Struthio camelus: one gene and its partners. The protein of the gene in region 2 interacts with the protein of the main gene of each other region in a biochemical or structural test. Links are inferred from orthologs where the notes say so. Each region holds a gene or a part of one and is shown on either strand. Other genes may lie near its edges.

Region 1 (7,670 bases), about 100 kb from region 2:
TTACAGGGGATCCTGAGGGGGATCAGTGGGATCTGGGGGATCCCGGGGGGAATGAGGGGACTGGGGGGGGTTACAGGGGATCCTGAGGGGGATCAGTGGGATCTGGGGGATCCCGGGGGGAATGAGGGGACTGGGGGGGGTTACAGGGGATCCTGAGGGGGATCAGTGGGATCTGGGGGATCCCGGGGGGAATGAGGGGACTGGGGGGGGTTACAGGGGATCCTGAGGGGGATCAGTGGGATCTGGGGGATCCCGGGGGGAATGAGGGGACTGGGGGGGGTTACAGGGGATCCTGAGGGGGATCAGTGGGATCTGGGGGATCCCGGGGGGAATGAGGGGACTGGGGGGGTTATGGGGGATCCCGAGGGGGATCCCGAGGGGGATCTGGGGGATCCTGAGGGGATCAGGGGGACCTGGAGGGTTATGGGGGATCCCGAGGGGGATCTGGGGATCCCGGGGCACTCACAGGCGGCCAGGAGGTCGTGCGCGCGGCGCAGGTCGAGCTCACGGAGCAGGGCCAGCAGCTCGCCCAGGCGCCCGTTGCGGTGGCTCCAGCCCCACACGACGCTGTGGGTCGGGCTGGAGGTCGCGGCCGCCAGGCGCAGCTCCACCTGGTCCCGCACCACCCGCGAGGCTGGCGGAGGCGGTCAGCGCCCGCCGAGGCCCAGGCCGCCCCGACCCGTCCCGGCGGGTCCCAGTCCGCCCCAGTCCGTCCCAGTCAGGTCCCAGTCCACACCAGTCCAGTCCTTGTCTGCCCCAACCCCTCCCGGCGGGTCCCAGTCAGCCCCAGTCCGTCCCAGTCAGGTCCCAGTCCAGTCCCTGTCCGCTCCGACCCGTCCCAGTGGGTCCCAGTCCACCCCAGTCCATCCCAGTCAGGTCCTAGTCCATCCCAGTCCATCCCAGTCCCTCCCAGTCCGGTCCCTGTCTGCCCTGACCCATCCCAGTCAGGTCCCAGTCCACCCCAGTCCATCCCAGTCCGGTCTCAGTCCACCCCAGTCCAGTCCCTGTCTGCCCCGACCTGTCCCGGTCAGGTCCCAGTCCACCCCAGTCCAGTCCCTGTCCGCTCCGACCCGTCCCGGTGGGTCCCAGTCCACCCCAGTCAGGTCCTAGTCCATCCCAGTCCATCCCAGTCCCTCCCAGTCTGGTCCCTGTCTGCCCTGACCCATCCCAGTCAGGTCATAGTCCACCCCAGTCCAGTCCCTGTCTGCCCCGACCTGTCCCGGCGCATCCCAGTCAGCCCCAGTCCGTCCCAGTCCGGTCCCAGTCCGGTCCCAGTCCGTCCCAGTCCCTCCCAGTCCAGTCCCTGTCTGCCCTGACCCATCCCAGTCAGGTCCCAGTCCACCCCAGTCCAGTCCCTGTCCGCCCCGACCTGTCCCGGCGCATTCCAGTCCACCCCAGTCCATCCCAGTCAGGTCCCAGTCCATCCCAGTCCGTCCCAGTCCGGTCCCTGTCCACCCTGACCCGTCCCGGTCAGGTCCTAGTCCGTCCCAGTCCAGTCCCTGTCCGCCCCAACTCGTCCCGGGCTGTCCCAGTCCGTCCCAGTCAAGTCCCAGTCCATCCTAGTTAGGTCCCAGTCCACCTGTCAGGTCTCTGTCCGTCCCAGTCCATCCTAGTCAGGTCCCAGTCCATCCCAGACAGGTCCCAGTCCATCCCAGTCCACCCCAGTTCAGTCCCTGTCCACCCCGACCCATCCTGGTCAGGTCCCAGTCCGTCCCAGTCATGTCCTAGTCCACCTCAGTCAGGTCCCTGTCCACCCCGATCCATCCTGGTCTGCCCCAGTCCATCCCTGTCTATCCCAGTCCAGTCCCAGCGTATCCCGATCCATCCCTGTCTGTCCCAGTCCAGTCCCAGTGTGTCCCAGTCCATCCCTGTCTGTCCCAGTCCAGTCCCAGCGTATCCCGATCCATCCCTGTCTATCCCAGTCCAGTCCCAGTGTGTCCCAGTCCATCCCTGTCTGTCCCAGTCCAGTCCCAGTGTGTCCCAGTCCATCCCTATCCCAGTCCAGTCCCAGCGTATCCCGATCCATCCCTGTCTGTCCCAGTCCAGTCCCAGTGTGTCCCAGTCCATCCCTGTCTATCCCAGTCCAGTCCCAGTGTATCCCGATCCATCCCTGTCTGTCCCAGTCCAGTCCCAGTGTGTCCCAGTCCATCCCTGTCTATCCCAGTCCAGTCCCAGCATATCCCGATCCATCCCTGTCTGTCCCAGTCCAGTCCCAGTGTGTCCCAGTCCATCCCTGTCTGTCCCAGTCCAGTCCCAGCGTATCCCGATCCATCCCTGTCTATCCCAGTCCAGTCCCAGTGTGTCCCAGTCCATCCCTGTCTGTCCCAGTCCAGTCCCAGTGTGTCCCAGTCCATCCCTATCCCAGTCCAGTCCCAGCGTATCCCGATCCATCCCTGTCTGTCCCAGTCCAGTCCCAGTGTGTCCCAGTCCATCCCTGTCTATCCCAGTCCAGTCCCAGTGTGTCCCAGTCCATCCCTGTCTGTCCCAGTCCAGTCCCAGTGTGTCCCAGTCCATCCCTGTCTATCCCAGTCCAGTCCCAGTGTATCCCGATCCATCCCTGTCTGTCCCAGTCCAGTCCCAGTGTGTCCCAGTCCATCCCTGTCTATTCCAGTCCATCCCAGTCCTATCCCAGTGTATCCCGATCCATCCCAGTCCAGTCCTAGGGTATCCCAGTGTATCCCAGTCCATCTCCATCCCTTCCAGTCCATTCCAGTCCGCTCCCAGTACACCCTAGTCCATCCCAGTCCAGTCCCAATGTACCCTAGTTCATCTCTGTCCGTCCCAGCCCGCCCCAGTCCGCTCTCAGTCCTCCCCAGTGCGCCCAGTTACCGAAGCGCTCCCAGTCCGAGTGGCTCAACGCGTCCATGAGGCGGCAGAAGCTGCACATGAGCCAGGCGGGCAGCTCGTACAGGAAGGGCCCGAGCCCCGGCCCCGGCCCCGGCCCCGGCCCCGGCCCCGGCCCCGGCCCCGGCCCCGGCCCCGGCCCCGGCCCGGCCATGCCCGCCCGCCGGTCCCTCCGCGGGTCACTTCCCCTTTAAGAGCGGCCGCCCTACTGCGCAAGCGCGCGCCGGCCCAGCCGCGCCGCCATCTTTAGCGTGGCGGAAGTGCCGCCTCTTCCCGCAGCGGCCCGGTTACCGGGCGGCGCGGGCGCCACGTTGGGTGTGGCGGAAGACACCCCCCCCCCCACCACGGAAAGGGGTGTAGCGAGGGCGCCATCTTGAGCGAGGCGCCTCGGGGGGAGGATGGTGGGAAAGGGCGGGGCTGGGGCGGGGCGATAGGAGGGCACGCTGAGGAATGGGCGTGGTCTGACCGAAAGGGGCGGGGCTTGTGGGGCTGCTCGGCGGGGCGGGGCAAAGGGGGCGGGGCTCCGAGGTGGGGTGGGAGTCCTGTGCCGTGTGCAGTGATTCACTCACCAGGTCCCTCCCCGCGATGACATCATCCAGGCGATGACATCACTGAGGTGCCCCACGATGACATCATCAAGGCCATGATGTCACAGCTGCCCAGACACCCAGGTCCCCCCCCCCCCCAGTGATTCCAGATTCACTCCGGACTTGAGGATGGCATGGGGATGGGATGGGGATGGAAGCGGCCGGAAGCGACTCCGGATCAGCTCCAGCACCACCACGCGGATCGACTCCGGATCGGCTCCAGCACCACCACGCGGATCAGCTCCGGATCAGCTCCAGCACCACCATGCGGATCGACTCTGGATCGGCTCCAGCACCACCACGCGGATCAGCTCCGGATCAGCTCCAGCACCACCACGCGGATCGACTCCGGATCGGCTCCAGCACCACCACGTGGATCAGCTCAGGATCGGCTCCGGCACCACCACGCAGATCAGCTCTGGATTGGCTCCGGCACCACCACGCGGATCGACTCCAGATCAGCTCCAGCACCACCATGCGGATCAACTCCGGATCGGCTCCAGCACCACCATGTGGAGTGACTCCGGATCGACTCCAGCACCACCACGCGTATCGACTCCGGATCGACTCCAGCACCACCATGTGGAGCGACTCCGGCACCACCACGTGGATCAGCTCCAGATCAGCTCTGGCACCACCTCGTGGATCGACTCTGGCACCACCACGTGGATCAGCTCCGGATCGGCTCCGGCACCACCACGCGGAGCGACTCCCCGTCAACGCGGCGGGGAGCTGGTGCCAAGCAGAGCAACTTGGGATCAGAGCCTGGGATGAGATCCGGGATGCTGTGACTCCAGCGCAGGAACTGTCGTGATCTGGAGTCGCTCCAGATCCATTCGAGCTGGAAGATCTGCCCAGGATCTCATGCCACTCCGGATCCACCCAAGCCAGATGGACCTACGTGCAACTCGAGCCGTTGCAGATCTCCTGCTGGAGATGGAGGATCTGCCCCGACCTGGCGTCTGCAGACGGATTCGGGATCTTGTGTCACTTGCATGACCCAAGCTGGAGGATCTACCCGAGCTGCTGTCTCCTGAGCAACCTTAGATCACCGGCTGGCGATCTGGATTCACTTCAGATCCACCCAAGGCTGATCAACATCCTTCCAACGTGGCCATGACATGGAGCCACTCTGCATTCGCCAGCGATCCGGAGATGGAAAGCTCTGCCACGCCACAGTGTCTCCAAACCCAACTGTTGGCAATCCGGAGAGGGAAATCTCTGCCCGGCCATGGCATCTCTGGATCCAACCACCAGCAATGGAAATCTTCACCCAGCTGCAGCATCTCCGGATCCATCCACCGGTGATGGAAATCTCCACCTGGCTGTGGTGTCTCTGGATCCATCCACCAGTGATGGAAATCTCCACTCAGCTGTGGCACCTCCAGATCCATCCACCAGTGATGGAAATCTCTACCCAGCCGTGGTGTCTCTGGATCTTTCCACCGGTGATAGAAATCTCCACCCAGCCGTTGTATCTCTGGATCCATCCACCAGTGATGGAAATCTCTACCCAGCCATGGTGTCTCCGGATCCATCCACCGGTGATGGAAATCTCTGCCTGGCCATGGCCTCTCTGGATCCATCCACCGGTGATGGAAACCTCCGCCCAGCTGCGGCGTCCCCGGCGCCGACCGCCGCTGATCCGGCACTGGAAACCTCCGCCCGGCCACGGCGTCTGCGGATGCGCCCGAGCCGCGGGGCCGGCGGGCGCTGCCGCTCGCTCTGGCTCCGGCTCCGGCTCCGGCTCCGCGCGGGCAGCCAGAGCCGCTCGGGGCCCTTCTCCCCCGCGTGCCGGTTAATGAATGACGGCAGACGAGCCTGGCGTTGGGTTTACACAGATTTATAGATCAAATCTAGCACAGGTTACAGTACTTACCAACAAGAGATGCAACTAAAGCGCGGAGAGCATGTTTGCCGAGTACTTTGCTGGGAGCGGGGAGCGGGGGCGCCGCCGCCGCCGCCGCGCGGGGGGAGCGGAGCGGGGGGACGGGGCCCGCGGACGCCGCGAAGCCGCCCAAAAAGAATCGACAGCCGTGGTTTTTCTTGTAAATTTATAAGGCAAACGTCTTCTGTCGTATATATATATAATAAATAGGTACAGGGTTATCTCCGGAGCCTCCGCACACGGACGGTTACATTCGCACCCACTCGCTGCCTCTGCGCTCGGGGCCGGGGGGGCCCGGCCCTGCTCCCCCCCGGCGCGACTTCGGCTCTCTTTTGTGTGTGGTTTTTTTCTTTTCTTTTTTTTTTTTGCTCTTTTCTCTTTTGTTTTTTTAGCAAAAACGGGTCTGCCGGGGGGGGAAGGGGACAGGGCGGGGTGGGGACCGGGGCTCTGGCGGACGGGGCCGCGTCCCCCCCCGGGCCGCGGAGGGGGCCGGGGAGGCCGGGCCCCCCCCCACCTTTATTGCCATGACGAACCGGGGCGGGGGGGGGACACGGAATAACAGGGAACCCCCAAAAGCGGCGAGTTTGGGGGGGGCGAGCGCTAACAGTCCCTGGCGGGGGGAAGACGGGGGGCGCAGGCCCCCCCGGCCCCCGCGGCGGCGTGGAAGAACCTCGCGCCAGTGCTACTTCCCGGGGCGGTGACCCCCCGAAACGGCCCCCCCGCCGCTCCCGGGGGCCGGTAAAGTGCAGGACGGGGGGAGTCCCCCCCGACCCCGGCTCGGCCGAGGAAATGGGGAAAAACTCATGATTCGAATGATTGGGGGGGCGGTGACCCCCCCGCGCATGATTTTGGGCGGCCCCCGAATGGGGGCGGTGTTGGGGGGCGGCACAGGCGCTCCCCGTTGGGCGGAGACCGGATTCCTCCCCCCCCCCCAATCCGGAGTCGCTCCGGATTGGCTCGAGACCGGATCCCGGTGCAATCCGGAGTCACTCCGGATTGGGGTGGGACCAGATCCCAGCCCAGCCCACCGTTACTCCCGGCTGGATCAAGACCGGATCCTGCCCCAATCCAGAGTCACTCCCCACCGGATGGAAACCGGATCCGCCCCTCCAATCCAAAGTCACTCCCAATTGGATCATGGCCAGATCCCGTCTCAACCCAGAGTCATTCTCAGTCGGGCTGAGGCCGGATCCGCCCTGATCCGCAATCCCTACTCCTTGGCCCACGGCCGGATCCTCCTCCCGCTCTCCCCACCTGCTCCGGGGCTGCTGGGGCGCAGACCAGATCCCGACCCAATCCAGAGTTGCTCCTGGCTGGACTGAGGCCAGATCCTGCCTGCAGTGCGGAGTCACTCCCAACTGCACAGAGGCTGGGCCTCCCTGAGCCAGAGCCGCTCCGGATTGGCTCGAGACCGGATCCCGCCCCAATCCGGAGCCGCTCCGGATTGGCTTGAGACCAGATCCCTCCCCAATTCGGAGCCGCTCCGGATTGGCTCGAGACCAGATCCCTCCCCAATTCGGAGCCGCTCCGGATTGGCTCGAGACCAGATCCCTCCCCAATTCGGAGCCACTCCAGATTGGCTCGAGACCGGATCCCGCCCCAATCCGGAGCCGCTCCAGATTGGCTCGAGACCGCATCCCGCCCCAATCCGGAGCCGCTCCAGATTGGCTTGAGACCGCATCCCGCCCCAATCCAGAGCCGCTCCGGATTGGCTCGAGACCGGATCCCGCCCCAGTTGGGAGAACTCCTGACTGGCTCAGGACCAGATCCCGCCTCAATCCAGAGTCTCTCCCAATTGGGTCAAGACCAAATCCCACTCCAATCCAGAGTCGCTCCTGACCGGCTCGAGACTGGATCCCACCCCGATCCGGAGCGACTCAGCCTTCGATCAACACTGGACCTGCCCCCCCCCCCAACTCATTCCTAATTGGCTCGAGACTGGATCCCACTCCATCGAGTCACTCCCAATTGGCTCCGGGCCGGCTCCCGCCCCAATCCCGAGTCGCTCCGGAGCGGGCCGAGACCGGATCCCGCCGCGCGCCGTAGCCAAGCCGGGGAGGGGGGCCGGCGCACGGCGGCGGATGGGCAAAGGCACATCCCGGGGGGCCCCCGGCGCCTCCGTCCACGGCTTGGTTAGTGCAAATGGTTCCCTAGGCTAAAAACGTGGAAAAAAACAACCCCCCAAAAATAAACCTGGAAGAACGAGTAAAGCGCCGAGCCGAGGCCGCGCGCGCGCGCCCCCCCCGCACGAGCGCCCCCCCGCACGAGCGCCCCCCTCGCACGAGCGCCCCGACCGCTGCTGGAGGGGGTCGTCCCCCGGGCAGCGGCGCCACGCGGTCGAGCGTGCGGGG
Region 2 (7,277 bases):
GTCCCCAAGAGGACCACGAACCACCCTGGGGTCCTCAAGGAGACCAGAAAGGGGGCCACGAGCCACCCTGAGGTCCCCAAGACGACCACGAACCACCCTGGGGTCCTCAAGGAGACCAGAATGGGACCAGGAGCCACCCTGGTGCCACCCAGAGCTCTGAGCGGACCAGAAAGGGGACCAGGAGCCACCCTGGGGTCCCCAAGGGGACGAAAGGGGGGCTCGGGAGCCGCCGTGGGGACCCCGCGCCCACCTGGGTGCGCTTGTCGTCCCCCAGGCTGGCCTTGATGTGGGTGTCGTACTCCTGGAAGAGGTGGTGGTAGGCGACCTGCAGCTGCACCAGCTTGCGCCTGAGGGCCGGGGCGGGTGAGGAGGGGGCCGGGCGGGCGCCCCCCCCCCGCCTGTCCCCAGCCCCCCCCCCGGCGTCACTCACTTCTCCTCGGTGGCCCCCTGGCGCTCCACCCGCAGGGCGGCCTCCAGGTTCTGCACCTGGAGCCGGAGCTGGTCCAGCTGGAGGCTGTGGGCGGCCGCCGCCTCCTCCAGCGCCCGGCACCGCTCGCCCGCCGCCCGGGCCCTGCCGGCGACAGCGTCACCCCGGGGCCGGGGGGGGGGCCGGCGGGGGGGGGGCCGGGCCGCGCGCCCCCACCTGTGCTCCAGCTCGCCCCGCTCCCGCCGGCTGCTCTCCAGGCGGCTCTGGCTCTCCTGCAGCTCGCCCAGCAGCGAGGTCACCTGCGCCTTCACCGACGCCTTGTCCTGCTGCGGCGGGGGGGCGGAGGGCGGCGTCACCCGGCGCAGCGGCGTCACCCGGCGGGGGCGTCACCCGGCGCGGCGGGGGCGTCACCCGGCGCGGCGGCGTCACCCGGCGCGGCGGCGTCGCGTCACCCGGCGCGGCGGCGGGGCGTCACCTACCTCCAGCTGCCGCCGCAGCGCCTGCAGCTGCAGCTCGGCCTGCCGCGCCGCCTCCTGCGCCCGGCTCTCGGCCCGCGCCCGCGCCTCCCGCGCCGCCTCCAGCGCCTGCCGCAGGGCCGCCTGCCTGCGGGCGGCAGGGCGGGGGCGTCGGGGGGGGCCGCCGCGTGCGTCCCCCCCCCCCGCCCCGTCCCCCCGGCGCCCCACTCACTCGGCCTCGGCCGCCGCCAGGCGCCGCCGCAGCAGCTCCGCCGCGCTCCTGCCGGGGGGAGAGCGGTGAGGAGGGGGCCGGCCGGCGGCGTGCCCCCCCCCCCGGCCCCCCGGCCTCACCCGGCGGCGGCCGCCTCCTGCTGCTCCTCCTGCTCCCGCTGCCCCTCGGGGGGGCCGGGGGGGGGCTCGGCGGGGCGGGCGCGCAGCCGCTCCACCAGGGCCCGGGCCTGCCGGAAGCGGCCCAGCAGGAAGTCGCGCTCGTCCCGCTGCGCCGCCTGCCAGCGGCGGAAGTCGTCGCAGCGCCGCCGCAGCGCCTCGTTGCTGCGCCGCAGCGCCTCTGCGGGGGGGGGACACGGGGGGGGTCAGCGGGGGCCGAGGCCCCCCCAGCACCCCCCAGCGCCGCCCCCAGCGCCCCCCAGTCGCCCCAGCGCCGCCCCAGCGCCCCCCAGTCACCCCAGCGCCGCCCCCCAGTCACCCCAGCGCCGCTGCAGCGCCTCTGCGGGGGGGGGGGACACGGGGGGGGGTCAGCGGGGGCCTCGGCCCCCCAGCGCCGCCCCCAGCGCCCCCCAGTCACCCCAGCGCCGCCCCCAGCGCCCCCCAGTCACCCCAGCGCCGCCCCCAGCGCCTCGTTGCTGCGCCGCAGCGCCTCTGCGGGGGGGGGGACACACGGGGGGGGTCAGCGGGGGCCGAGGCCCCCCCAGCGCCGCCCCCAGCGCCCCCCCGTCGCCCCAGCGCCACCCCCAGCGCCCCCCAGTCACCCCAGCGCCGCCCCCAGCGCCTCGTTGCTGCGCCGCAGCGCCTCTGCGGGGGGGGGACACACGGGGGGGGGTCAGCGGGGGCCGAGGCCCCCCCAGCACCGCCTCCAGCGCCCCCCAGTCACCCCAGCGCCGCCCCCAGCGCCCCCCAGTCACCCCAGCGCCGCCCCCAGCGCCTCGTTGCTGCGCCGCAGCGCCTCTGCGGGGGGGGGACACACGGGGGGGGGTCAGCGGGGGCTCGGCCCCCCCAGCGCCCCCCCAGTCGCCCCAGCGCCTCTGCGGGGGGGGGGGACACACGGGGGGGGGTCAGCGGGGCCTCGGCCCCCCCAGCGCCCCCCAGCGCCGCCGCAGCGCCTCTGCGGGGGGGGGGACGACACACGGGGGGGGTCAGCAGGGGCCTCGGCCCCCCCCAGCGCCCCCCAGTCACCCCAGCGCCGCCGCAGCGCCTCTGCAGGGGGGTACACGGCGGGGGGGTCAGCGGGGGTCTCGGCCCCGCTGACCTGGCACCCCTGGGTGCCAGCCCAGCATCCTAGAGCCTCCCAGTCCAGCCCCCCAGATTCACCCACCAGCGGCTCCCAGTCCCCCCAGTCTAACCCCCCCAGTGCTCCCGAGTCCAGCTCCCCAGTACCTCCCAGTCCCCCCAGTCTAACCCCCCCAGTGCTTCCCCGTTCAGTTCCCCAGTTCCTCCCAGTCTAACCCCCCCAGTGCCTCCCAGTGCCCCCAGACCAGCCCCCCCGCAGCTCCCAGTCCCCCCCGACTCACCTCCCAGTGTCTCCCAGTACCCCTAGTCCAGCCCCCCAGTCTTGCTCCCTAGTACCTCCCAGTCTGCCCAGTTTCACCCCTCAGTACTTCCCAGGGCCCCCAGCGCCGCCGCCCCCGGAGGCCCAGGTCCCCCCTCACCCTTGAGGTCACGGTTCTCGGCCAGGAGGCGCTGGAGCCCCTCGGGGCTGCCCGGCTCCGGCGGGGCCCGGCCCGGCGCCGCCGCCGCCTCCTCCTCCTCCACCGCCGCCGCCGCCGCTCCCGGCTCCGGCCCCGCCGCCGGCCCCGACCCGGGGCCGCCGCCGCCGCCGCCGCCGGGCTGCACCATGTCCGCGGGCCGCCGCCACCGGGCGCCGCTCATCCGCCCGCCTGCCGGCACCGGGCGCCGAGGGGAGAGCGGCGGGGGGCGCCGAGGGCCGCCCGGGCCTGCGAGCGCCGCGCTGCCCGGCCGCCCTTCCGGCCTCTGCCGGAAGCGGAAGTGACGCCGGAAGCGAAAGCGCCGCCGGAAGCGGAAGCGCCGCCGGGAGCGCACCGAAGCACTTCCGCCTCGGTAGGTGTCATGGCGCACGGCGGATGGCGGGGGGGAGGGGGATACGCCGCGGGCCGCCCCCCGACGCCGCCCATTGGCTGCGCCCGCAAGAGCCCGCCGCGTGGGGGCGGTGGAGGGGCCTGCCATTGGCCGGCGGGGCGGGGCGGTGAGCGAGGCCCCGCCTCCGGGCCCTTCCCATTGGTGGCACGGCGGGGTGCGGCGCGGCGATTGGCCGGCGCGGGAGAGGGGGGCCGGTGGGGCGGGGCCGGCGCGGGGAAAATGGGGAGCCGCGCGAGCGTGAGGGGAGCGGCGGCGGCGCGGCCGGAGGGAGCAGGTGGGGGCGGGGCGGGGCGTAATTAGCGGGGCAATTAGGGGTAATTAGGCGGGGGATGGGAGGCGGGGGGCGGGGAGGAGGTAGCAGGTGGGGGTAATTGCGGGGGGGCAGTTGGAAATGGGGGGAAATGAGGAGTGATTGGGGAAAATGGGGGGCAATGAGGGGCAATAGGGGCAGGGGGGAAATTGGGGGGCGATTGGGGAAATGGGGGGCAATAGGGGGAAATGGGGGGCAATAGGGGGAAATGGGGGGCAGATGAGGGAAGTCGGGGGAAATAGGGGGTGATTGGGGAAATAGGGGGCAATGAGGGGAAATAGGGAGCAATTGGGGGCAATGGGGGCAGGTAGGGGAAACTGGGGAGCGATTGGGGGAAATGGGGGGCAATGAGGGAAAACGGGGGCAGGTGGGTTGGGGGCGATTAGGGGAAATGGGGGGTGATAGGGAGCGGGGGTGACAAGGGGGGGTGGCAATGGGGTGAGAAGGGGCAAGGGGGGGTCAGGGGCAATAGCAGGTAGCTGGGCTGGGGGGTAAAAGGGGGTATTTGGGGGCGGCAAGGGGGGGTCTGGGGCAGTTGGGGGGTCTAGGGGGCAGTGGGAGGGGGTGGGGGGTTTACAGGGGCCAGAGGGGGAAGCAGTGGGGGGGCTGGGGCAATAACGGGGGTGTTGGGGGGCAGCCGTGGGGCAATAGCGGGAGGGAAGGGGGCGGGAGGTGGGGCAGGAGGCGGCGACGGCCGGCCCCCCCCCCCCAGCCCCGCCTGGCCGTCGCCCCCAGGGCTCATGGCGGGGCAGGAGCTGAGCCGGTCGGAGGTGTGCGGGATGCTGCGGCAGGAGCTGTGCCGGGACGACACCTTCCTCCAGGGCGACCCCCACGTCTTCGTCATCCTCGGGGCCTCGGTGAGCCGGGGGGCTGGCGGGGGCGGGGGCTTGCTCCCGGCCCGGACGCCTGGGTCCCCTACGTGTGGGGCGTGGTGGTGGGGGGGGAAGAGGAAGAAGATGGAGCATCGCGTCCCGGCCCCGGACGCCTGGGCCCTGGTGGCCTGACTTCTCTGTGGGGGAGGGAAAGGGTGTCGGGACGCCTGGGCCCCGTCGGGAAGGGGGTGCCCGGACGCCTGGGTCCCTGGAGGGAGGGGGGAGGGCACCTGGACCCCTGGGTATCGGGGGGGGGTGGGGGTTTCGCCCGGATGCCTGGGCCCCATTGGGGGGGGCACCTGGACTCTAGGGTACTGGGGGGTGGGTTGTCCGGACGCCTGGGCCCCGTTGGGGGTGGGGGGGGCACCTGGACCCCGGGGTATCGGGGGGGGGGGATGTTGTCCGGACGCCTGGGCCCCATGGGGGGGGCACCTGGACCCCGGGGTATCAGGGTGGGGGATGTTGTCCGGACGCCTGGGCCCCGTTGGGGGTGGGGGGGGCACCTGGACCCCGGGGTATCGGGGGGGGGGGGATGTTGTCCGGACGCCTGGGCCCCATGGGGGGGGCACCTGGACCCCGGGGTATCAGGGTGGGGGATGTTGTCCGGACGCCTGGGCCCCGTTGGGGGTGGGGGGGGCACCTGGACCCCGGGGTATCGGGGGGGGTGAGTTGTCCGGACGCCTGGGCCCTGTTGGGGGTGGGGGGGCACCTGTACCCCGGGGTATCGGGGGGGGTGAGTTGTCCGGACGCCTGGGCCCTGTTGGGGGTGGGGGGGGCACCTGGACCCCGGGGTATCGGGGGGGGTGAGTTGTCCGGACGCCTGGGCCCCGTTGGGGGTGGGGGGGGCACCTGGACCCCGGGGTATCGGGGGGGGTGAGTTGTCCGGACGCCTGGGCCCCGTTGGGGGTGGGGGGGGCACCTGGACCCCGGGGTATCGGGGGGGTGGGGGGTGTTGCCCCGACACCTGGGCCCCATGGGGGGGGCACCTGGACCCCTGGGTTGGGGGGGGGGATGTGAGCAAGGGTGCCCGGACGCCTGGGCCCCCTGAGGGCGGTGGGACGGGACAGGGCTGCCGGGATGCTCGTTTTCCCTATGGCGGGGGGGGGGGGAGGCGGGCCCGGACGCCTGGGTCCCCTGAGGTGAGAGGAGGGGGGGGGTTGCCCAGACGCCTGGGCCCACGGTGGGGGGGGGGGTGAGGATTCCCCCCTGCTATCGGTGTTTGCCGGAGATAAGCGGCTTCCTGCGCTTCCCCGTCAGCCGGCGGCGGCGTGCCGGGGCCGGGCTCCCACGTGGGGCCGGGCCGCCGCGCCCGGACGCCTCGTTACCCAACACCCCTTAATTAAACACCCCCCCTTCCCCCGCTCCGCCTACCCCAGGCGTTGTGTAACCCCGCGGCGGCCGGGGCGGGGACACCGCCGTCCCCGCCGTCCCGTCCCTGCTCCCCCCTGCCCCGCCGCCACCCCTGACTCAGCACATTCCCCGCGCTTCGTTAATCCCCCTCGCTAACGAGAGCGGGGTGGGTGGGGGGGGGGGAAGGCTGGGGCCGGCCATCGCGGGACCGAGTTGTGGCCGGTCTCAGCCCCGCGACTCTTTGTTTCCCCCGCAGGGCGACCTGGCCAAGAAGAAGATCTACCCCACCGTCTGGTAGGGCCCCCCCCCCGCGCCGCCGCCGCCCCCGAGCTCGTGCCCTCGCTGCCCCCGCCGGCGGCCGACGCTGCCCGTCCTCCTCCCGCAGGTGGCTCTTCCGGGACGGGCTGCTGCCGGACGACACCTACGTGGTGGGCTTCGCCCGCACGCCGCTCAGCGTGGCGCAGATCCGCCAGCAGAGCCAGCCCTACCTCAAGGTGCCGCCGCCGCCGCCGCCCCCGCGCCGCCCCCGCTGCGCCGCCGCCGCCCCGCTGACATGCCCCCCACCCCGTTTCCGCAGGCCTCCCCGGAGGACGGCCCCCGCCTCGACGCCTTCTTCGCCCGCAACAGCTACGTGGCGGGGCAGTACGGCGAGGCGGGCGCCTTCGAGCGCCTCGACGCCCACCTGCGGGCCCTGCCCGGCGGCGCCCGCGCCAACCGCCTCTTCTACCTGGCCCTGCCGCCCAGCGTCTACGAGCCCGTCACCCGCCACATCCGCCAGGCCTGCATGGGGCCGGGGTGAGCCGCCGGCGGGACGGGGGCCGGGGGTCCCGGCGGCGCCGCCGCGACCCTAAGCGCCGCGATTTCCTCCCCGCCTCGCTCAGCTGGAACCGGGTGATCGTGGAGAAACCCTTCGGGCGCGACCTGGCCAGCTCCAACGCCCTCTCGGACCACATCAGCGGCCTCTTCCGCGAGGACCAGATCTACCGCATCGACCACTACCTGGGCAAGGAGATGGTGCAGAACCTCATGGTGCTCAGGTGGGGGCCGGGCGCCCCGCGGGGGGGGGAAGGGGGGTCCGGGCGGCCCCCACCCACCCACCCACCCACCCGCCGCCAGGTTCGGGAACCGCATTTTCGGGCCCATCTGGAACCGGGACAACATCGCCTGCGTCGTGCTCACCTTCAAGGAGCCCTTCGGCACCGAGGGCCGCGGCGGCTACTTCGACGACTTCGGCATCATCCGGTGAGCGAGCGGCGGGGGCGGCGGGCGGGGGGGCCGCGGCGGTGCCCCCCCCCCGGCCCCCCTGCCCCAACGGCGCGTCTCGCCGCAGGGACGTGATGCAGAACCACCTGCTGCAGATGCTCTGCCTGGTGGCCATGGAGAAGCCGGCCTCCACCGACCCCGACGACGTGCGGGACGAGAAGGTGCCCCCCCCCCCCCCCGCCCCGCAGCCTCTGGTGGGCTCCCGAGCCGCCCCCCGCCGCCGCCCCCAGGCTCTCGGCGACCCTCCGGGCCTTCAGGCGGTCGCG
Region 3 (7,521 bases), on a different chromosome or scaffold from region 2:
TGCAAAAGGTTTCACTTTGGGAACAGACAGTGTTTTCTAATGGCTTTTCCCTTTGCTTCCAAAAAGGCTGTGATGCACTGTAAGGATTCTTTGGTCTTTCTTCAACAAAATAATTCCTTTAAAACTGTTACGCTCCCAAACAAAGCTGGTACCATCACTAGTGGACTATCTTCCTTTTCTATCGGGTGCACGAAAAGCTCTTCAAACATAACTGATATCCTTAACTGCACCTTTCATATAGAGCTATTGATATGCTAATAAAGGCAGGAAGAAAATATGGGGGGGCAGGTGTTAAGTGCAAGTTTGATATTTCAGAAGGTAAAACTGAAGAGGATAAAAATATGTCTGTGTCCTCCTGATCTTTTTTTTTTTTTTTTGTAAAGCAAGAGCTAAGTTTCATTCTGAGCTGGTCTTCAGTGAAAATTTTCCAGCATTAGTCTTAGCAGAGCCAAAGTACAGTTCACCCTTCTCAATGCTACATTTTGAGGTAAGCATAGTTTAAATACGTGCCTGTGGTAACAGTAACTGCTCTTGAACAGAAATGCATCATCCTCCAGTTTTAGCAGAGCACTAAACATCTGTGAGAGCGTTATTTTGTCCTTTTTTAATTTATCAAATACTTGGGTGTTTAGAATTAGTCTGATCACTGGGAAAGATGAATTATCTCTTGGTAATTCAGATGTAAATTCGGAACTCCTTGATTGTCTAAAGTAGGCATGGCCAGGGAACGCAGACAGGTAAAAGACGGCAGCTAGGAAAGAAATGAATCTATGCTTAGCTACCTTTGTCTCCAACATGAATGCAAACACCTCCTCTGAGGAGGTTACGCTCTGTCATTACAATCTAGGTTTTACCAAGGGTCTGGGTGACAGGAATAAGGACACTGATGTCAAACAATATTTGAAACAAGCTGAAAAAACAGGCCAGAAAACATGAGCCATTTGAGACTGCTGTACATGCAAGGATACGCTCGCATCCTTCCCCTTGTTCTAGGGGAGACGGCACCCATTTGTGGCCATCATTTTACTTTCCTCTTCAGCAGCCACAGGAAAAAAAAATAAGGTATTAGAAAAGTGCAATAATGCTATATATATATATATATATATATATATATGTATGTATGTATGTGCGTAAGCTCAGGCTCTGTTCTTTTCAAACCCCCCTCCCTGCCCTGCAAGAGCACAGAGAACAGTTCATTAAGGTTTATAATATAAAGCTGCAGATAAATTCAAATTTTCACAGGTTAATCAAAGAAAATTGAGTACTGCACTTCAGCAGTGCTCTACAGTAGTAGCTATGTGTATCTGCTTTCCCCACCGGTTTCACCAGCCCCAGCTTTTCCTCTTTCTACTATGGGAAAACAGCAAGGGGCTATAAGTAGCAAAGCAAGCAACTTTTGGGGGACTTTCACTGTTTTGTTACTTTCGCTGTTCACCTGTTGCTTTAGTTTTGAACAGTGAATGGGAGTTTTCCTAGCTCAAAACTTTCCTGCACCTATCGTGCTACAACGCTAGCTGAAAACACTCTTCTGCTCCACTTGAATTTTAATAAGCACTTGCCCCATCCACAGCTGAGTTTTGTGCTTTACATTTCCCTGAACAAACTCACAAAGGTGACCTGACAATATCTTTGCCATTTTACAGCACGTTTCAGTTAACAATGTTTGAAAACTTATATTCAGCAGCAGGACAGCTTCTGAAGCCACCTAATGCAGTTTCATTTGCCTTTCATCCCACTTGCTTAGCACTGTTATTTCCAGTGAGCAGCTAGCCAACAGAGCCTTCCTGGCCAAACTATGAAATAAAAGTCTGTGGTGTCTACAAAGGTGAATTCTTCAGTTTGGGATTTTGCTCTTTGTTTACTGCACAGCAGCTGTGAAAAACTACTTATGCAGCAACTGGTTCTTTCAAGCTCAGAACACCTTCACTTCTCACGTTCACTCTGAAACGCCCGATACTAAGCACAGCCTCAAGAACCTCTTGGAGCAACAGCTCCTCACAGAGGAAGTGACTATGCTTGGCAAACCATAGCACGCAAGCAGTACGCTCGCTCCCTTCAGACAGGCACAGAGATGGTTCAGCCATCAGCCAGGGCTCCAGGTCACTTAGAAACACCAACAGTGAACATCTGTGACAGCATCCCCCTTTCTTCCGCTCTGTATACATATGCGAACCATATTATGATCCTCACGTTTCTATCCCCCGTCATGACTTTCCCTCATCCAATAAAACCCTATATACACATACATTGTCCCTCCTGCTCCAAGAAAACACACGTGCTCCAAATCTCTTGCCTTCATACCCCCACTACGACAGAAAGTGAGCAAGGGGAGGAGTTTGCTAATGGACTCAGTAGGCACATCCAGCAGTCAAACTGATCTGCGCAGGACACGCAAAGTAACCGTGACCGTAAGCACAGAGCGCCACGGAGGGGCAAAAAGGCCAACAGCCTGGGGCAAGAACGAGCACTGCAGCCCAGCCTGCTTCACCGGCTCCAGGGCCAGGGCGGAAAAGGATGCTGGATGATGCAGACGCCTTAAAAAGGCCCGGCGCCAGCCCTGCCGCCCGGGAACAGGGCTTCTGAGCGGGCCAAGGGCCAGGGCAGACCCAGAGAGACAGCAGCAGGAATGAGAGAAACCCCAGGGAACGAGACAAAACCGGGCCTAAGCTTACGATGCAACACAGCAACCACCTCAGCTTCCGCCTCCCAGAGCGGAGGCGACCGAGGCCCGCCGGGCGGCCGCTCCCCGGCGGCCAGGCCCCGCCGCCGGCGGGCACCGTGGCGGAGGCCAAGGCGGCTGCGGCCGAGCCTGCGCGAGGGAGCCGGAGCGGCGGGGCGGCCCCACGGCTAAGGGGGCGCGGCGGGGCGGCTCGCTGACCTGCGGGGCGGCCTCTTGCGCGGCGGCGGCGGCGGGGCCGGGGGCGGCGCGGCACGGCGGGCGGCGGCGAGGAGGGCGCCCAGGGCCCCCAGCAGCCATTGGTACATAGGCCCGGCCGCCGCGGCGGAAGTGCGCGCATCCCGCGCGACCGGCCCGCCGCTCCCCCCCTCCCCCCCTCATTGGCTGTGGCGGCGCGCGGCCTCCCGCCCCCGCGGGAAGCAGAGGCGGAAGCGGGGCGCCTGCGCGCCGGGCGGGGGCGGGGCGCACAGCGCATGCGCGCCGCTCGGCGGCCGGCGGCGTGAGGCGCCTCGTGGAGGCGGGGGGGGGTGGGGGGCGGTCTGCCGTCCCGTGGCCTGGCCCCTCCGCCTAGGGCGGGGAGGGGAGGGGAGGGGGGGGAGGAAGAGGAGGAATGAAGAAGGAGCAGCAGCAGCTGATCCGCTGGCAGAAGCTTTATTCGACGCCTTCAGAGCTTTCCTGTCTTTCGGTGCAGCCCGGGCAGGCGCTGGGGTGCTCCTGGGCCTGGTGCACAGGCCTCTGCGTGGAGCAGAGGGCAGAGCTGCGTGCCGAGGCCTGCTGGGCTCCAGGGGTTTTACAGCCCCCGGTGCCCGGAGAAGGGAGGCAGCAGCCTGGAGCTGCTGGGCCCTTCCTGGTCCTTGGTGTCCCTTGTCCCACGTGGAAGGGGAAGAGAGGCTGCTCCTGCTGTGTGGGAGAAGCGTGCGCCATCCCAAAAGACTGGAAGAGGTCTTTGGCCTGAGTAACACTGCGGCGTTATCACTAGAAGGACAATGGTGAGGGAGATCAAGCAACTCGAAGAGCACGTTGGAGCCAGTATCTGCCCTTTTCCCTGGCAGTCTCCAAGCAGGTGTTTTGGAGATCCAGATCCTGGCCTTGCAAAGTCCTGCCCTGCTTCAGCAACAGAGCTCTTGAGCCCATTCTCTCTGCTGCTCCCTTTGCTTTTGCCTTGCCGTGTGATTTGCTCGGCGTCTAAGATTTCTGGAGTGGGCACACTGAAGTTTCTCTGGTAGATTACTCTCTTGATAGGTTTGGCTTGCTGTTAGAGCAATACCTTGTTCTGCATTGCTGTTAACAGAGTTCTTGGTACTTGCTGATCACTTGGTCTAGCAGACAGTCACAAGAGAGGAGGCTTGACAAATATTGTCTATTATCTTTGTGGTAGAAATCACTGGTTTTGGACCAATTATTTGGATAGTACAAAGGGGGTTCATTGACCCTCTTGACATGGTTGCATGAGAGGTGGGGAGGGCTGGGAAGACTTCTTGCCTGGACGATTACTCAAAATCTCACAGCAGTTTAGTTTCAGGTTAATACATGACTTACCTAATATGACTGCCCGCTCCTTGGATTATTCAGTTTCTCCACAGTTTCATCAAAGAGACCGACTGTTCAAAAACAGGGGTCATGCCCATCCATCGTTAAGGAAAGTTGAGGTGCTGTTGCTTGACCTTTAGAGTGGTCAGCTACTTGGTGTGCTCGCATGCTCTGCTATTGCGGAGATGCCAATGTCTACTTTATGGGTTCCTCTGGGGGGAAAAAAGGCACCTTAAAAGTGAATATTTTCATGGCTTCAAAAATCAGCTGAGAATGAAGAGATCTCATTTTTAGTTGGGCCTTTTGGCTTTTTCTTTCTTTCTATTTTTTTTTTAACCCAAAGCATGGGTGGGGGTGGGGGTGTGCTGCCTGTGTAACTTTATCAATTACATCTTTTCCAAAATGGCCACTCATTGTTCAGAGGTCAGATGACTGCAGGAACTCAAAGGTGCACTGATGGCTACACTGGAGACTGAGACGATCCACTGTGCTGGCAGCAGGGGATGCTGCAGGCATTGCTGTAGCCACCTCCTGGAGAGACTTTCCACATCAGAACTGAAAACAATAAAGTGTAAGAAAACTAAACTGCCTTAAGGAAGCTGCAGAATAAAGCCTTAGTGAGCTGGGAGGACTAATGTGCTTGGAACAGGGAAGGCGCTTTCACAGGATGCACTTGTTGCAAGAGGACCCGCTAGCTGTTCATGCCTACAGGGAGTATAAATGACGGTGGTACAAAGAGCCTTGTTATATTAAAATGACCTTGCTCATTATACTAGGAACTTAATTACCGCTCCATTTACGGTTTAGGGCACTGGCCAAGGAAGGGAATGACTGAGACTTGGACACAAAGCTTCAATTTGAGAGATGGGTCAGCACCCAGTGGCGCAGGGACTAAGGCAGCATGTGGGAAGGCTTTAAATGAGGTGCAGCAAGGCCTGCAAAGGTCTGGAGAAGCAGTCCAGCAGAGGGCACAGCAGCACCATGCAGGGCCTGCAGTGAGCCTGTGGCTTGGAAATACTTCTTCCAGTCAGTTATTCCATCTTTCATTTCTGCCCGGCCTGTATGTTTTAGGTGAATCCTGCAGCAGAGAGATGGAGTGGGTGCAGGGAAATTTATTTAAATCCCTGCCTAAGGAAAGGCATGAGGTTTAGCTCTGCAAAGTCAAGACTTACCTGCGACACTGCTGTTTCAGTGCACAGTGAAGTGTGCAGATAGAAAGCAAGAGCACTGAACTCACTAGACAACATAATGCAATCCAGTAATCATGGAAAAGAGGAAGGCTGGACTCTTGGGAAAGGGGTCTTCCCTGAACCCAAGGCAGGCTTGTCATACATAAGGCTCACTCAGTTGTCCTGCACTTCTTGCTTCCCTGTCTGCAGGTGATGCGCTGGCAGCACAGACAGCGCAGTGGCTTCTCTCCGGCTCTGCCCGATGCCAAGCGCAGGCGTCCAGCTGGCTGATGTGCAGTCCTGGCACAGGGAAATGGCAGCAGAGCAGCTGGGGAGCACATGCATTGGAGCAGGGTTCATGCGTGCAGGAGTTGCTCTGGCAGGCGTGGTCACCCCAGCTGCAGTCTCCCCCATCATGTGGTCTAACCCATTGCAGGAGAAGTCTTAAGGTTCAGAAAAAAAAAAAAAAAAAGAGAACTCTCGTCAGGAAATCTGTTTGCTATTTTAAACAAGCTTCCCTTATTTTAAACAAACTTCTGATAACACCACTTCCTTATCCTCACAAGAATAGTGCGAGGATAATTATTTTAATGCTTCACAAAAGGTCCGTATTTATGTCTGTGAGCGTGCTTGAAAAGTAACTGTCAGTAAAAACAGGGTTAATGCAACTGCAAGGCTCCATTTTGAAATCCATATAAGCCTGTACAACCCAAAGGATTTGTCCTAGACACATGAGGAGAGTTAACATGGAGTTACATGATCATGATAAAGTGATGCCACTTGAATAATTAATTTTGGAAATAGATGAATGGTAATTTTAGGTATCTGAAAGCATAGCTATAATATACTTATCATTAAAATCTCTTTATTGTACATGAGTTTAAGATGATGTCAAGGTGGCATAGTACCTAGATAGATAGATAGCCCTAGGCATTGTGCCCTACAAAGCAACCAATGTGTGCTGCGCTAGCCTAGTACAGCGCTGGTCATCTCGTCAATCTAGCTGTCAGTGCTCATGCTTTCAGTTACTTCATACAAATATTGGTTCCCAGTTGCAAAGAGGAGGAGTTTAAATTGTGGGTTTGGAGCACAGCGCTCCCAAACCAGCAGTACGAGTCTCAGCAGCATACATTTGCTGATGCTTTCACATTCAGTTACTAATCTTCAGAATTCTTTGCCTTGGGTATAATCCCACTAAATATGATTCAATTTGTCAACATAGCTACCTTATGACTAGTATGTGTTTGGCTGGTCAGCCCATTTTATACAATCACACTCTATCAAGTGGGATATCGTGTGACAGCAGAAGTGGTTGGAAAAAATATTTTTCATCCTAGATAACTCTGAGGCTGAAACTTGCCTGCTGTTTTCCACTGTCCCAATTCAGCAAGATTACACTTTATAACACAGTGCCTGTAGTTAAAGTGCATTTATAATACTGTTTCACATTGGTTATATTTTTTGTTCCCTGTAATTTACATAGCTGAAGGTTAAGTTCACAGCTTAATTCTTTATTATCCCTTTTGGTTTCTTGGTCCGTATGTACATAAATGTAAGCACATCTCTGTTCAGCAACCCATTTGAGCACGTGTTTACATTTTGCTGTAGCCAGTGGGACATACTTCATTCAAGTGCCCGTGTCTTCAGTGTGTCTGGCTGGGTAATCTTACGTGCATGTGAACATGAAACGTGACAGCACATTGTGGGAGTAGAGATGACCTTTCTTTGAGGACCTCTCAGCTTGTCTGTGCCTTCCCCGTAAAATGGCTGCTGTCCCCTCGATAAGCAGTCCAGAAGGCAGACTCCATTTTACACTCGCGTGTCATTCTGGGCAGAGTACAGAGAACCCATTACTGAATAAAAAACCTATTTTTAAAGCACCACATTCTGTTTCTCAAGCTCTAAAATTGTAGGGCATTGACTGACCTCCTACCTCAGCTAAGAAGGGCAAATTTGCATTCATGCCTGTCTTCTCATCTGCCCACTAACATCTCCAAGACATTCTTCCTTGCCCACGGGCTGTCATCATGTCACTTTTCGATCAGCTGAGAAGGTCCACCACAGCGTTCTCCACCCCTGTGTGGACTGAGGAGGACTCTGGAAGCAGGGCAGGGAGGTCCCTCAGCTGGCTAACAACACACTTCC
Region 4 (7,777 bases), on a different chromosome or scaffold from region 2:
CCCCTAGCCTCTTCTTTCCTATGTGAAACACGAACGCTAGCAAGCTTTGCTGCATCAAGAAACAAGCATCAGCTTAAGGAATAAGCATTGCATATTGCATGCTTTAACAAAACTTCCATGTGAGAAATAGGAATGACACTAGAGAAAACTTGTCTTCCAAGCAGCAGCCATTTTCAAATGAACTGAGCTATGTTTACTCTTAAGGCATAACAATAAAAGCAGTTTAAATTTATATGATACATCTCATCCCTAAGGATCTCCAGAAATGCAACAAATTTATATATAAACAGCCCACAGTTCACTCAGAGAAATGCAGATCTTCCCTGGGACACAACACATGAATTTAAGAGATGCCAGAAATAAGCTTCAGTCTAAAAATAAAAACAAAGGAGACCATAGTAGTAGCTGCAAATCTGGGTAGAAGTAATGCAACAAACCTCACCAGGCTCTGGCCAGGACACCCGCGTTAACTCCGTTTCTGTATCTGTGGAATATACATAGGATTTTAAATCCCGTAATCTGGACCTTAGCTTTATATGCCAAAAGGTCCCTCCAGCACTGTTTGCTTGGATATTATGTCAGCCTGAATAAGCCAGAGAAATACTGTGACTAACATACTATTTGAAGCACCTGTCACATGGCCACCTCTGATCAAAATGCGTGACGAGATAGGTGCAGAGGCCACAGCGTGTGTAAAACCCAGAAGCTCCCATCTAGGCTGACAAAAATGAACTTTGGTTAAGATTTCCATGACCTCATTTGGCCATTTTTTTTTATTGCTTCAAGTTAGTAACAGCCAAATTATTATTAGAAAGCAGGAGGATATTTTCCTGTTCTCGCTGTTTAACACTAGAGTCCAGCAAATTGTTTGAATCTGACAGCTGCCCAGTTCTCATCTCTGTAGCAGCTCTAGATGGGAGGCTGAAATGTGCCAATTTTAGTTGCAAAATGTTATCTGAATGACAATGTGAGGTGTTCTCTGGCTTCCGTTGCCCTAGCAAGGTCCTTAATTTTTTGGAGCAGTGAAACGGAGCCCTGTTCCAAAGAGCATACGGGTCAGGTAAGAGGTAGCTACACCACATGTATGCATCCAGATTGCCAGACTGAGAGCAGAAGAAATGCACTTTTACACAACTCTTTTGCTTTGCTTATGGTTTCAGCAGCCTGGGCCAAGGTCCTGCTGAATGTTGTGAACTACTTTTCCTGTTATGTTTACTGCTAAACTTGCATCGTCCTCGAGATTAAATGGGAGGAAATAGTTAATAGGTATCTGCAGCAGCCATCAGAGAAGGACGAAGTTGAGGAACCAACGCTGGTAATCAACAGCACCACAGCAACAGCACTAGACAGCTCTCATGATTAGTGTGGCAATCAGGAAATTACAGCTTAATGTGTTTGCTTGAGAAAGCAGCACGAGAATCTTTCCTGTACTTTAAAAACTGATTAAAATCCTACTGCCCCTTTTCAGTATTCAGGCACGCAAGGCTGCTTTTCAAAACCCTGCCAGCTGCGTGCTGCAAGTCAGAATAAAAACAAACACGTCGTTCCTGCAGCCCAACAGCACTGCAAATGGAGCGGTCAAGACACCCAGAGCGGAGGAGACTTTTGCAAAATCCAGGCTTTAGGTATCAGGCGCAAAATCACTTTGCGTGGTTGCAGCCTTTTACCTTGTCAAAGAGCTGTTTAGGCAGCCACTTGGTCTTGCAATGCCCTCCGTACTACGGTGCCCGTGTAACAAAGAACCACACCAGTTTGGACCCTGCAAGACGTCCAAGACACCCCTGCAGACGTCCTTTTCTGAACAAGATGAAACCGCTCCTTTGGTCATGCCGGTGTGGAGACCACTAACACAGTCTCACATAAAAAATGCAGAGAACCTCAGTCTCCTCTCAAGCTGATGAGCATAAGAAGCGCTGCTGCAAAATTTATACATTCACAGCGGAGTATCAGGCCAGAATAAACAAGAGGACCATCAGGCCTCCAGTTTGACAAAAACGACCGCAGTGTTCATAAAGTTTTGCTCCGTTTCAGGAGGGCTAAATTTGATCCTGGGGTTTCATGCGCTGCCCTCTGTCCCCGGGACGAACGCCTGGCCCCATCCCCTGGCAGCCCCCCCAAGTAACACCAGGCAACAGGCTGCATATGAAAGCAGATTTGAGACAGACGGTACATGACCAAAAGGGGAAAAAATGTGTATCCAAAAGCTGAGTTTGTTCCTTCCTTGTATTTTTATTTGTATTTTTATTCACTCATGCTGACTGTGTAGAAAATTGCATAGAATAATTCAGAATGTGTTAATTTGCAAAAAAAAGGACAGGTATTTCAGCAGCATAAAAGCAGTGTCCGTGGCCCTCTTCACAGTTTCAAAACCTTTCTTTTGTATTGCCTTCCACCAGCTCATTCCATCCCGTTCCGCAAATAGTGTAAAACAACATTGTTAGCTGTGAGAAGTCACAGAAAAGATAACTTTTTTTTTTTTTAACATGCATTCCCTCTGCCCTTGCACCCACAGGTTGTCTGTTACTGTCCACATGGGCTGGAGTTGTTTTTTGACCCGCGCTTGAAGGCTGCCTAACACCCTGGGGTGCTGGCCCACGTCTGGGTGCACTGAAAGCTACTTGTACCACCGAGGATGTCATTTTTCTCAGTATGAAGAAAACCAGTCTGCACGGCTGCTGCACCGGGGACGGCCCAGCAGCCGCAGCGGGGCCGGGCAGCAGAGCGGGACCTGCGCCTGGCTGCAGCCAGTGCTGTTTTTGGGGGCAGGAGGCAGGCTAATCTTGGCACGACTTTCCACAGAGAAGTCATTTTCCATCTCCTTTCTGTCCCCTCCAGCTGGCTGACGTAGCACTGCGTGCAGAGGTACACAGAGATAAGAGCATCGAAACACGCGTGCCCCCAAAAAGAGGTTTCTGCTGGCAAACGCTCTCCAAAAATAGCCCCGAGTCCGCCTGTGACAGCAGCTGGAGGTCAGCAATGGAAGGAGGCGCCGAGGGGCTTGTTCGGCTGAACTCGGGCTCCAGCCACCTCAGTGAGGAGGGGGAGTTTTCAAATTTAATTTCTATGTGGCTCCAGCAAAACTCTGACTGAAGGCAGCTTCATTCTCGCTGCACTTTAGTCCCCGATCGTTAGATAGTAGATAGAAGGCACTTGCTTTCAAACCCCAGTCTTCACTTTTTGCACAGAAGCAGGTCGGAGAGTCATTTGTTAAGTAAATTTCCCTTGCCGATTTACATTAAGAAGGGGAAACTTTTTCCAGAAAGTCATGACACTTTCATAACCCTTAACCTATAAAAGAAAGAGCTGTATAGCTTTTCTAAACCTGCCCCAAAACCACCAGTGGATTATCCCAGGCCTAATGGTGAATAATGAACAAAAGTCCAGGAAGGGTACAGCTGGGCTGCAGCTTGGGAACATCTGCTCACAGCAAGCCAGCCGTTCTCCTCTGGCGCCCCCTTTCATCTTTGGATTTTCTCACCAATTTTTTTTCAAAGGGATACCATCCCATGGGAAAACTGCAAAAGAAAAAATCTCAGACAATATTAGTCAGTGAGGCCGGCAATAGTTGCAAGGGATGAAAAATTCTTAATGGGAATCCCCCACATCTGAGAAGCAGCAGCAAAATTCACCAGGGAAAAAATCACCACTGCCAGTCCAGCAGACAAGGTCTTTTATCCATGTGGGAGCCTGCGTTTACCCAGCGTTTTCATTACCCGTGGCTGGTGTGACATCAGTAGAGACGATCAAAGAAGAGTAGTTAGAAATGGGTGCAGGGGGAATAATGCCAGGAGATGCTATTTCTTCCTTTAAAAGGTGCGTTCATTTACTGGTACGTGTCTTTTGAAAGAAGCCTGTTTGACGAGAACTGGATGTACAGGCACGGAGCACAGCTCTGTTATTCCTGATCCTGTTGCGCGGAAGCTAAGCGGATACTTACCACCAGCTGCAAGGTGCGGAAGCCTTTACACGCCGCATGCGAGGCAGCACAAGCTACGCGACACCAGCCCGCCCGCCGGCACGGCCGGGCTCTAAGACGCGGTGGCGCGCAGCACTATCTCAACCTCCCCAACAACTGCTGCGCCAAGAAGTTAGCGCCATCACGACACCGTCACGTTTTAGGACGGGCGGCCAGCACCGCGCTGCCCTCTCCCGGACCCCAGGCCGCGCCGGTGCCGCCCCAGGGCCCGGCGGGGAGGGCAGGGAAAGCCCCAGGGCAGCTCTGGCCGGGGCAGTCACCCGAGGCGCAGCAGGGAAGCACCGCAGGAGCGGGGTTAGTCACCCAGGCGGCCCAGTACTTCCCCGGCCGTGGAAAAACGCCAAGTTCCCGCTGCAGTAGAGGCCGGGCGGGCGCAGGGAATTCCTCCGCGCCGCCTCAGCCCGGCCCCCTCCCCTCCCCTCCCCTCGCCGGCCCGGCCCGGCCCACCCGCCCGCGGCGCCCAGCAGGACCAGACTCGTCCGTCGGCCCTTTGAGTGGCTGGAAATTCCCGGCCGCGGCGGCTCCTCCCCCGCAGAAATCCCCTCCGCCCGGTGTATATGCGGCGCGCCGCCGCCGCCGCCGCTCACTCGTAGAGGCCCGCCCGCCCGTCGCGCTGCCGCCAGCAGCAGCAGCAGCAGCAGCAATAGTAGTAGTAATAGCAGCAGCAGCAGCCGCCGCCGCCAGCAGCAATAGCAGTAGTAGTAGTAGTAATAGCAGCAGCAGCAGCAGCAGCCGCCGCCGCTGCAGCGCCGGCACCAACCGCCGCCCTCGGAGCCGCGGCGCGGAGGCGCCCCCCGCCCGCCCGCCCGCCCTCCTCCCGCCGCCCCGCCGCCGCCATGATCAGCGCCCCCCGCCCCGCCGAGCTGGCGGCCATGGAGGGCCGCGAGGCGCTGCGGAAGGAGCGCCCGGCGGGGCCGCTGCAGGACGACCGCCACGACAGCGGGCTGGACTCCATGAAGGACGAGGAGTACTGCCAGCTGGTGAAGGAGCTGCAGGACATCCGGCTCCAGCCCCGCGAGGCCCCGGCCTGGCCGCAGGGCGACCCGCCGCCGCACGCCTGGGCCCAGCAGCTCACCGAGGACGGAGACACGTAAGTCGCTGGGGGGCGGCGGCGGCGGCGGGAGGGGGGGGCCCGGCCGGGAGGCGCCGGGCGGGCCGGGAGGCGCCGCGCCGGGGCAGGGCCGGGGCCGCGGAAAGTCCCTGGAGAGGCGCCAGGAACAAGGCGGCTCCCGGCGGCGCCGCGGAAAGCCCCGGCCGCCCAAAAGCCCCCGGTTTCGCCACGCGGCACATGACGGGCGGGCGGGCGGCGCGGCCCGCTCGTCACCGCTGCTCCTGCGCGGGGGGGTTCTCATTCTTCTCTTTTTGGGGTGGTTTCCTTCCTGCAGCTTCCTCCACTTGGCGATTATTCACGTAGAGAAAGCCCTGAGCCTGGAGGTGATCCGGCAGACGGCCGGCGACCCGGCCTTCCTCAACTTCCAGAACAACCTCAGCCAGGTACTGGTCTGCGCCTGCCACCACCGCCCCGCTGAAAAGGCTCTTTATTTTTTTTCATGGATATGAAATCAAAGCCTGCGCTCAGAAAGGCACCCAGCCGACTCCAGTCAGTGTTAGTGTGACGCTTCCTCTCACCAGCACTGGCATTTAATGCCTGCGTTTTTTAAATGTGATGCAGTGGGTCACAGCCCTCTTCATTGTCACGTTGGTGATACCCTTCATATGACTGTTTGATATCTGGAGAGCTCAGAGTTCATCGCTTCCAGACAAGAAAGCAACTGTGCGATATATCAGGAAGCATAGCAATACCCTGTGTTTAGGGGGTTTGGTTTTAATTGGGCAGAAATCACCAACTGATGGAGGGTCTGCTTGTGCAGACGCTGCTGCTGCTGCTGTGTGCCATGTTTGTAGTGTCACTTACCACCCTGCGGTTTCCCTTTTGTCTGCAGACTCCGCTTCACCTGGCTGTTATCACTGATCAACCTGAAATTGCTGAGAATCTTCTGAAGGCCGGATGTGACCCAGAAATTAGAGACTTCCGAGGAAACACACCGCTCCATATTGCCTGTGAGCAGGGCTCCCTCAGAAGCGTCAGCGTCCTCACGCAGTACTGCCAGCAGCACCACCTCCTCCCTGTCCTACAGGCAACCAACTACAATGGTACGCACAGCCTGCTGCACCAAAATGCCAGTATGCTGTATTGAGGACAGGGTTCTTGTCCTGTAGATCTCAAAGACCTCTGGAAGGGTGGAAAAGGTTGAGGAAGCCAAAGTACATAGCAGGGTCCGATTTCCTTGGTTCGCTTATAGGCCTCCTTACTGATGATCATTGGCTGCCATAACTTTAAGCTCTGTGTTATTAATGACTACTTTTGCAAAATTTAATTAACTCTGAATATTTTATTTTGAGTGTTTCTATTTTTTGTTACAATAATTTGGAGTCAAACACTGAAATAAAGATAAGGCCTCTAAGAAGTCTTTCCAGAAATCTTTCCAAAAATCTTTCCCTGTTGCCCATACGTATTGGAAGTTGGAAGACTTTCTTGGAAAACACCTTTTTGCCCTGGATAAATTGCAATTATTCTGTCCTCCTGACTTTAAGTGAAAGATAACACATTAGATAAGAATTACTCAAATTTTGTCTTACTTTGCATTTTACAGGACACACATGTCTCCATTTGGCATCTATTCAAGGGTATCTGGCTGTTGTTGAATATTTGCTGTCCTTAGGAGCAGATGTAAATGCTCAGGTATGTAATTTATCTATGAATTTAGCTGAACAGGGTTGTGTGGTCATACGAATCAGCAGTTCTGACATGGGCAAGCCTGGCTCTCCTAACACGAAACATCTTGGGTTATTTTCATACAGGAGCCATGCAATGGCAGAACTGCACTACACTTGGCTGTAGACCTGCAGAATTCAGACCTGGTGTCACTTCTGGTGAAACATGGGGCAGATGTGAATAAAGTGACCTACCAGGGCTATTCCCCGTATCAGCTCACGTGGGGAAGAGAGAACTCCAGCATACAGGAACAGCTGAAGGAGTTGACCACAGCTGACCTGCGACTGTTGCCAGAAAGCGAGGACGAGGAGAGCAGTGAATCGGAATCTGAATTCACAGAAGATGAAGTAAGTAGCTATTTGCACCTTTTCATAGGAAGGGCCAAATTCTGCCCTTTCATACGTTTAAGTTGTATTTTTTGTTGGTGCCCTCATTACATATGGGTGACCTCTTACCTATATAACATACAAGTATAAATATCCCCATAAAGTAAGGTTACAATGTCAAGCGTTGGAAGTAGGGCATTTGGGCCAACGTATGAATAGAATGAACGTAAGAATAAAACATTAAAAAACCTTAGGGAATGGAGATTAATTTCGCAGAGCATGATTCTCTGAACATTGTCCTGTTGCTGATACTGACAGAACCTTGTGACATAAAGTTTCAGTTAATTTCTCCTCCCCACAATTTATTTTTCTAACATTCTCCATGCTGTAAATTGCAAATGATAGCAAATGTAACCATTGCTGTGTAGAAATTTCACACGCTACTGAAGTGAGGGCAAGCAGAATTTAGCTGAGTAGATATGATACTCGCAGTAAGAGTTTTGCATTAACAGCATTTTGGGATTTTTTTTTTTTTTTCTCCTTATAGCTTATGTATGACGACTGCCTTATTGGAGGACGACAGTTGGCATTTTAAAGCAGAGGTTTCTGTGAAAGGAAGTGACTGTGTACATATGTATAGGAAAAGGACTGGCATTCTTCATTTAAAAAAAAAAAAAAACTGTGGAAAAAAAGTACAGA

The links.
Region 1: the proteins of IKBKG (region 2) and IRAK1 form a complex in vitro, tested with the Homo sapiens proteins (3 studies listed by BioGRID). The link is inferred for Struthio camelus from reciprocal best matches to the Homo sapiens genes IKBKG and IRAK1.
Region 3: the proteins of IKBKG (region 2) and SENP2 form a complex in vitro, tested with the Homo sapiens proteins (2 studies listed by BioGRID and IntAct, with this or other methods). The link is inferred for Struthio camelus from reciprocal best matches to the Homo sapiens genes IKBKG and SENP2.
Region 4: of the proteins of IKBKG (region 2) and NFKBIA, one has a biochemical effect on the other in vitro, tested with the Homo sapiens proteins (15 studies listed by BioGRID and IntAct). The link is inferred for Struthio camelus from reciprocal best matches to the Homo sapiens genes IKBKG and NFKBIA.

The regions. Positions count from the first base shown.
Region 1 is NC_090979.1:146,507-154,176, forward strand, and holds the start of IRAK1 (interleukin-1 receptor-associated kinase 1), read right to left. Parts: upstream 3,009-7,670; 5' UTR 2,999-3,008; coding exon 2,830-2,998; intron 635-2,829; coding exon 467-634; intron 1-466.
Region 2 is NC_090979.1:45,540-52,816, forward strand, and holds the start of IKBKG (NF-kappa-B essential modulator), read right to left. Parts: upstream 3,004-7,277; 5' UTR 2,989-3,003; coding exon 2,769-2,988; intron 1,451-2,768; coding exon 1,234-1,450; intron 1,163-1,233; coding exon 1,115-1,162; intron 1,031-1,114; coding exon 907-1,030; intron 754-906; coding exon 644-753; intron 572-643; coding exon 431-571; intron 348-430; coding exon 251-347; intron 1-250. Other genes in the region: G6PD (glucose-6-phosphate 1-dehydrogenase), read left to right, coding at 3,436-3,490, 4,262-4,383, 6,005-6,042, 6,134-6,242, 6,326-6,543, 6,630-6,785, 6,865-6,990, 7,079-7,172. UniProt on the Homo sapiens protein: Regulatory subunit of the IKK core complex which phosphorylates inhibitors of NF-kappa-B thus leading to the dissociation of the inhibitor/NF-kappa-B complex and ultimately the degradation of the inhibitor.
Region 3 is NC_090950.1:3,002,172-3,009,692, reverse strand, and holds the start of SENP2 (sentrin-specific protease 2), read right to left. Parts: upstream 3,004-7,521; 5' UTR 2,986-3,003; coding exon 2,879-2,985; intron 1-2,878. UniProt on the Homo sapiens protein: Protease that catalyzes two essential functions in the SUMO pathway.
Region 4 is NC_090946.1:55,426,197-55,433,973, reverse strand, and holds the start of NFKBIA (NF-kappa-B inhibitor alpha), read left to right. Parts: upstream 1-4,776; 5' UTR 4,777-4,812; coding exon 4,813-5,066; intron 5,067-5,361; coding exon 5,362-5,470; intron 5,471-5,919; coding exon 5,920-6,130; intron 6,131-6,630; coding exon 6,631-6,719; intron 6,720-6,838; coding exon 6,839-7,099; intron 7,100-7,625; coding exon 7,626-7,673; 3' UTR 7,674-7,777. UniProt on the Homo sapiens protein: Inhibits the activity of dimeric NF-kappa-B/REL complexes by trapping REL (RELA/p65 and NFKB1/p50) dimers in the cytoplasm by masking their nuclear localization signals.